2 linked regions of the Arabidopsis thaliana genome follow. The protein of the gene in region 1 interacts with the protein of each later gene in a biochemical or structural test. Each region holds a gene or a part of one and is shown on either strand. Other genes may lie near its edges. The genes, in order: AT1G48150 and MPK10.

What was found.
Region 2: of the proteins of AT1G48150 (region 1) and MPK10, one has a biochemical effect on the other in vitro, tested with the Arabidopsis thaliana proteins (one large-scale study listed by BioGRID).

Annotation. Positions count from the first base shown.
Region 1 is NC_003070.9:17,783,277-17,786,868, reverse strand, and holds AT1G48150 (MADS-box transcription factor family protein), read right to left. Parts: upstream 1,473-3,592; coding exon 501-1,472; downstream 1-500. Other genes in the region: AT1G48160 (signal recognition particle 19 kDa protein, putative / SRP19), read left to right, coding at 1-90; AT1G48145 (plant mobile domain protein), read left to right, coding at 1,956-2,003, 2,057-2,362; DPMS3 (dolichol-phosphate mannosyltransferase-like protein), read right to left, coding at 2,955-3,014, 3,161-3,268, 3,366-3,467.
Region 2 is NC_003074.8:22,090,468-22,094,903, reverse strand, and holds MPK10 (MAP kinase 10), read right to left. Parts: upstream 2,505-4,436; 5' UTR 2,457-2,504; coding exon 2,233-2,456; intron 1,961-2,232; coding exon 1,831-1,960; intron 1,741-1,830; coding exon 1,603-1,740; intron 1,520-1,602; coding exon 1,187-1,519; intron 1,095-1,186; coding exon 914-1,094; intron 840-913; coding exon 664-839; 3' UTR 501-663; downstream 1-500. Other genes in the region: AT3G59800 (stress response protein), read left to right, coding at 1-25, 119-307.

The sequences.
Region 1 (3,592 bases):
CAGAAAGCGAAGAAGCAGGAACCTCAGGCCACAACTTCAACCTCTGGAACTTCTTCAAAGTCAGGCAAAGGTGGCAAGAAGAAGAGATAAAACAAGCCAAGCCCTCCCTCTCTCTCATCAGATTTTATGGCTTTTAATCTCTTTAACTTTCTGAGAAGAACACAAAGGTGTTTGCAGGTGTAACAATGTTTCAAATAGAACATCGTCTCTTTCAACCCTAAGCTACTTTGTTTTCACCATTCTACTTCTTCTTTTTGGCATCATCCATTGACATTAGACAAGAAAGAATGCCTAAAAAGGGAACATAAAGATATTGTAATTCACCACAATTAGTCTCACTAACCACAGCCATAACCAAAATCGAAATTACAGAATCAAAAGAGTTGAGATAAAACAGATATCTATAGATCGTTACACACAACAACATAAATGGTAATTACCTAATGAACTAACTAAAACCGTAATTAACTATGAGATCGTGCTTAATCAAGCTGTGAGAACTAACTAAAACATGGGCATTCCATTGCTTCTTCGCTTAAGTATTCACTTATGTCGATCAATAACTCGTCGTCTTCGTTGGTTGAGGAATGATCTTGAAGAGGAACCTCAAGATTGTTGTCGTCCTTAAAAAGACCAAACACGTCGTCGACATCTAGGTTTTCCCAAAAGCTCTGATCCTCCTCTGTGAACATCGGTTGTGTTTGTGTTTCTTGGGGAAGACGCATTCCGTTATTCTCTTCCTCTGTTTCACATAAGAGGCCGTCAACAAATCCAGAATCTTCATTCACCAAGTAACGAGATTGATCAGATGATGACTCGCTGCCAACAGAGAAAACAGGGTTTTGATCAAAACAAGTAGTAACTTGTGACGAAGGCTCAAGTGAGGAGTAAGAGTTCTGATCAAAAGAAACAATTTTTAAGGAAGACGGAGACAAGGTACTAGGGTTTTGACCAAAATCAGAAGCAATTTGAGAAGACGAAGAAGAAGACCCACTGTCGTTGTTAGGGTTTTGATCGGATTTAGAAACAGAGTGTGATTTTTCTTTCTTCTCAAGATAATCCATGAGATGCTTCTTCGTTCTCATCAAACGATCTTCGATGATTCTTAACTCAGACAGATCGTCACAATCACGGTAAAGATCGGGCTCTTCCCACCAAAACTTGGCTGATTCAGGGTTAATAGTAGTCTTGGGAGGAGACTTGTTGTTGAGGTAACAGTCAACAATTTCAGAGGCATGAGAGTAGCCCGAGAATGAATAAACGACATCGGAGTTCTCGTCAGGAGAAGTTACAAAAACGGCTATGTTGGCTCCGGAGAGAAGGCAAAGATCAGCCGCTTTGGAGAAGAGTGTGGGACGGCGTTTGCTGCAAGCGACGGATCGTTGTTGTTTAGTCATGCGTTTCTCAATTTCAATCTTTCTTTTTGTTCCTCTTTTCCTCATTGTGCAATCAGTTACGTTCGACGACTGCATTATTAGGGTTTGTTTTGTGTCTTACAGAGAGAGATAATGGAATCGAGAGAAAAAGAGAGAGTGAAAAGAGAGTAGAGGCAAAGCACAAATATATAGAGATTAGATAATACTAATGTCGGTATTATCATGTGACTCGGTCAAACTTAATTTTTTTAATTTTTACCAAACAAACATTTTCATTAAGATCATCAAGATTATTGCATCTAATCACAACTGTTATCATCAAATATCAACACAAACACTATAAATTCAGAATCAGATTATGCATGAGAGAAGAGAAAAGAAGAAGAAAAACAGGATCGTACTTGGAGAGTAATACAACACAAGCACCCACATCCTCCTTAACCAAAACAACAACAACAATATCAGACAAACAACCATAAACAGTAAGAAGAAAAGATCAAACACAAAAAAAAAGCTCCAACAAAGTTGTTGAAGGGTCAGCAGAGGAGAGCTCAAGCTCGAACCAAAGTGTTTGATGTAATGAAGCAGAGAAGGAAGATGCTGATGGAAGGATCAATGCATGAGAAGGTGCTAGCATTAAAGGCAGACAACAACAAAAAAAATCTAGCCCTCATAAAAAGTTTGCTTCTGGATGCACGAATGGAGATGAAACAAGAAAAGCATATAAGCATAAGGTTCTGAAGTCATCTGATGAGTCAAACATTCACATCGCTGTAGGGGATGGAAATGAGGGACAGGATTGTTGTTTGCTTCATGATGATAGCATCAGAAGTGAAGAAACTATGAAATCCAATGAGCAGTACTCTGAAAAGGGAAACAATGATTTTGGTGAAGGTGATGTTGATAACAATGACAAGACTGATAAGAGATTTCAAGAGCTGAATGTGCTAGCATTGTCGATAGAGGAGCGTATTCTTAAGGCATAAAGAACTGTGGCATGGTTGAACGAAAGGAGAGCCATAAACACACAGAAAAGCAGCTGGTTTGAATTAGGTGTTGTTGTGGACAGATAAAGAAAGGAGAAGGCAAATGCAAGTTGAATATCAAAGTCATATCTTTATGATCTTTTTGGTTCAGTGTCTTTTGATTTTCCTGCTTAGTATCTTTTAAAAACTGGTTTGGTTCCAAATGTTTCATTTGTATCTTTTGAAACCTACTCAGTTATGAGCGACTTAATACCTTCTTGGTGTGTTGCATATCAGAGTTTTCGTACAGAGGATAGCCTGATTCAATCTGTTGATGCGATCTCTTTTGCATACCTGGAGAACTTACTAGACACAAAGGCCAAAGCTTTATGGTAATTCACCACAAGAAAATGTAAATGCTTCTATTGTTACTAATAAGTTTCTGCAATTTGGAATATTTGTTATACTTTTGCGATTACTTTTGGATGCATACGAAGCTTTTGCGTTTTACCTCAGTGACACTGTTAAATTCAAAAATTCCAAACAGTACAGTTAAGTCTTTTGTCAATAACGAAAAATATCTCTGATGAATGGTCTGATAAAAGCCTTTGTGTCAATTCGATCCAACATCTACCCCTTTGTGCTTGAAGAAGTCCTTAGCCTCTGCAATATCCTGCAACCAAAGAAACAGATAAAAGACACTAAATTAGCAAAAATATTGAAGGATGTCAACATTAGATAACACGAATCCGTATAGAGCAGGATGAAAAATAAGAACAAGGCCGACTATGGCAAACAAAGAGCTAGTCTCAAAAGTACCTTCTGCAGCAGAACTGCTTCTTGGGGGCAAGTAGGAAACTGCATGAGCCCGACTCCAACCATTAATAGGCCATAGCATCCGAGGGATACAACAAAGTAGATCGGTAGCTGTAAGACAGACCGGCAATAATACCAAATCAGAACAGAATCCTAATTTCAAAAAAGCAAGAAACCAAAAAAGAGGACAAAATTGTTTGTTACTCACCAACCATGTATGGCTTCGAGGAATAATTGCAGCCTGCAAAAGACCAATCCAGAAGGCAGAGATAGCCACCAACAGGCTCAAGATCTTTACTATATGCTTCATTTGTCCTTTAAAGTAAAAAATTATGTAAAAGAGTTTAAGTTAGCTGCGAATAGAAATGCATAGACGATCACAGCATTCTCCAAGAAGTTGTAGAGCATGTAAAAGAAATCACTCAGCGAGCCTAA
Region 2 (4,436 bases), on another chromosome or scaffold:
GAAGAAGAAAAGCAAAAAGAGAAAGGTGCCTTCTAAAAGTTTAGCTTATATCAGATAGTGTGAGGTTTTCTAGCTTATGCTAACATGAACCATGATCGGTTGTGTTATGAATTTGCAGCATTATTCGTCCTCAGAGTCGTCATCTAGCAGTGATGAAGATGAATCTAGAAGATCAAGATCAAGTTCGAAAAGATCAAAGAAGGAGAAGAAGCACAAGTCCAGCAGAGACAAACACTCTAGCAAAAGTAAACACGAAACCGATGGCCCTGTACCACTCTCTAGATTCTTTGGCAATTTGAAGAATTGACAAAAGCAAAACTGCAAATGAACTATTACAAAGAGTAAGATTGTCTTCAATCAAAATACTCAAAGTAGGATATGATTGCTTTCTTCCTTGTTGCAATGTTATATTTTTGACAATAGCTCATGTATTAATATTTGTTGGATTGAAAGTCGCAATGATGCCCACAGAATCATGGTTTTTCAGTTTATTTGCTTAAAAATGAAATTTGACAACATCAAAAGGGAATCTAGCAGAAAATCTTAGCACAACAAAATTTCTGAGAGATGAAAAAATTAAAGGAAATGAAAAGGGAAATTATTCAAAGAAAAGCAGAGAAGGAAAAGAAAAAAACAGAACAAGGATCAAAGATATGGTCCTTTTCAATCATTGCTGGTTTCAGGGTTGAAAGCTAGGGCTTCACAGTAGATTAACTCTCTAAACTGCTCCTCAGAGAATGGATGTTCATCTAAATCGAAATTGAAGGGCTCTGAGCACTCTGGTTCATCGGTAATGTCGTGAAACGAGCTAAGGTATGGATGAGCAAGTGCTTCTTTAACTGCAAAGTGGCAAAACTGATGATAAGAATCCAAATAAAACTGCAGAAGAGGCTATATGGAGACAGAAACTGACCTGAGATTCTCTGTTTAGGATCAAATGTTAGCATCTTCTCCACCAAGTCTATTGCTAAGGGAGGCACGTTCGGGAATTTCTCAGTGAAAGATTGGCGAGGAAGCGTAGGAAGCTGCCTTATGTATCGCTTAGCGTATTCACTCAACGATCCAAGCTCTTCTTCAGATGGAGTGCCAATGAGCTGCAAAACAATGTCCCAAGACTTTTTAAGCTAATCATGAATCACAAAAAACGAATATGATCTTGGCACAACAAAGGGTTTTACTTTACTACCTCCAGAAGCAAACGAAGCTGATTAACTTGATCTTTCCCCGGGAAGAGCGGTTCACGGTTCATTATTTCCATGAAAATACAGCCAACAGACCAAACATCTATTGCTGCGGTATAGTCAGAAGAGCCCAACAGAAGCTCAGGTGCACGGTACCATCTTGTGACAACATACTCAGTCATTAAATTACTCTCAGGAGTTGCACGAGCGAGCCCGAAATCACAAATCTTTAAGTCACATTGTGTACTCAAGAGGAGATTGCTTGGTTTTAGATCTCTGTGTAGCACATTGGCTGAATGAATGTACTTTAATCCGCGCAGGATTTGGTACATGAAATACTGCCAAAAATTTGAAGATTGTGTCAAGCTCACTAATCAAAATGATTTTTAAGTTTCAAGAAACAATAACTCTAAACACACACCATGCCATGATCTTTGGTTAGTTCTTGATCTGATTTTAAGGTTCGATAAAGGTCAAACTCCATCAATTCATTCACAATGTAAACATCTTCGAATGAATCTCTCTGAGGAGGCAAGATTACGTCTCTGATTGCAACAATCTATAGAAAAATGATATTACATAGTTAGCTTTTAATGAATAACAAAATAAAAGAAAAAAGGTGAGACAATAGTTATAAAATCAAACGAACATTCTCATGATCGAAGTGACGAAGAAGCTTGATTTCACGAAGAGTTCTCTTTGCTTCGATAGTGTTATCAAATACTTGCGTTATTTTCTTTATTGCTACCTTCTCATTGGTCTCGGAGTCCACAGCCGAACTGTAAAAAAAGTTAAAAAGAAAAGTAAAAACTAATGTGTCAAGTGAGGAAATTTTAAAAGTAACAAGAATAACATAAAAGTCATGAATGGTATAATAACTGTTTAGAGATCTCTATGATAGAAACGATTTGAACTTTTCTCATAAAAAGATGAAACTTATCAACCCAAACCATAAATTACACACAAAAATGGTCATGGCATCTACATTCTAAAGTGCTCAAAATGATTAGGAAAAGAAATGAAACTATTAATTCTGTTAAAAGGATATTACCAAACGATGCCACAAGCACCTCTGCCAATAGGCCTAATCGGTGGCTTATACTTTGCGGGGAGTTCAAAGATATGCCCAAATAGATTGTACTGGATGTATCTGCCGTCATGGCTGAGAGTCCCCGGAATATCGATAGTCGTCTTGAGGATTTGAGATGACGGCCAAATAGCGGTTGTAACCTCTCCTTGAGTTTCCAATGTCTCAGCATCGTTAGTTGGCTCCATGGTTTTCTTTTTGTCTCACACAACCTCAAACTATTCTGTTGAGAGAAGTGATGTTTTTGCTTTGGTTGGGTTTAGTGGTAGTGAACTAAACTTATATAGAGTGGATATGTGTAAGTATGGATGTTTAAGTCCAGGTCCAGGAGGACCCAGGAGATATGAGTTTTGATATATTTTGATAGTTTTAAGGTAAGTTTTTTTAACTTATAGGAATTCTGCTGTGAATTTCCTTTTCCATATGGAAAAAAAAAAACTAAATAATCTTAATATATTTCCAGCTAATGAATACAAAAAAACTAATTAATTTATGGAAGTGTATAAGTGAGATGATTTTAGGTAAGTTGTTAGAAGAAGATTTTTTGCTTTTCATACACCCTCTTAAATTAAATGCAAACATGGCAATACAATTTGGATACATACTCTTCATATTCATTTCCTAATTTGTGTTCATTTTTGTAAACAATTTTCTGTATTTTCATATACTTTAAATTTAGTATAGAATAATATTTTTTGAAAAATCAATTTACTTGAAATTTTAAAATATATAGATATTTGATATGAAGTTTCTATGTAATCACCATCACTTACAAAGAAACCTCAAAAATATTATTAATAAACATAATTCAAAATAAGTCTTACCATTTATTATTATTATTATTTTGTTATTATAATTTTTTTTAAAAAAAATAATACTATACTAAGTTTGGTAGTTTTTAAATATGTGTATAATTGGTTTTCATTTTTTATTTACAGGTTAATAAAATATTTGTTTCCTTACCTACAAAATATTATCCCTTCTGCTACACTTAGCATGTTTGGGTGATGATGGGATTCGTTTTTAAGTAGATTGCTGGGAATAGCAAAAAAAAAAAAAAAATCTACAACAAATTTATGAGATCTAATTTAGTTAAATGTGTTATATATAATATATTTATAAGAAAAAAATAAAGTTCATAAGATTTAATAACAAAAATGACAGTCCAGCAATCAAATGATAAATCCACTGCATCACCACTTCTGTATTTTATCATTGTTTTCTATTTGTGCTGATAAATAGAAACACCACACACTTCTGCTAATGTCGTTCGTTGATTTATCATTGTCCATTCTGTTTTTCATTTTAAATGATAAAAAATATGCTTACACATTGAAATAATGTAGTAGTGGTCGATAGACATATACAATGTTTAGTTAATCTTGTCAAATTTTCTAAGTTTCTGATTAGTATTCTTTCGTTTAGAAATTAAAACGCTTGCAAATTCACAACTTGCATAAAATTAGTAACTTGCACATACGTCGACGGGAAAATTCACAAGTACAGTAGGGAAATTAGGTAAAGAGTAATATAACGATGCTATATGAAAAGTAAAAATTCAAAGCCACGAAAGTAAGATCAAAACTAGATGGAAATACAGTTTTTTAAAGAGAAGAAACGTTTTCACTCGTCGTCAACTTCATTGATATGGCTTCAGCAGCTGAGTGAAGTGTACGAATACGGTCAATCAAGTTAGCTTTCCTCACATTCAAGGCCAAACAAAACTCGATAGGAAGAATGTAAACAGACACCACTAACAACTGGGAATGTGATGAACTAATTAAAAGGATACAAATCTAACAACAAACCGATACTTTGGAGTGTTGTATTTGTTCTTGTCTTGATTAATAAGACGGATTCTGGCACGATTATCAGTCTTGCCATCTATATTAAGAAAACACGAGAACTGTCACAACAAAATGTTAGCTTTTGATTAAACAAAAAATAAATGTTTCTATCTGTGTAGAATGATTACCTCTTCTTCTCCTGGATTTGACCTGACCCCTGAGTCAAGGATGACGATTGCTTTTTCACTAAACCCTAAGTATGCCACTTTAAGGCCTTCTGTTATTGGGCCTAAAGCCCAAAGTTATTAGGGGAGAAATTGCTGTAATAATTTTACGTGTAACCTATAACTTTTGACCCAATTTAGCTAGTTCTAAATTTGC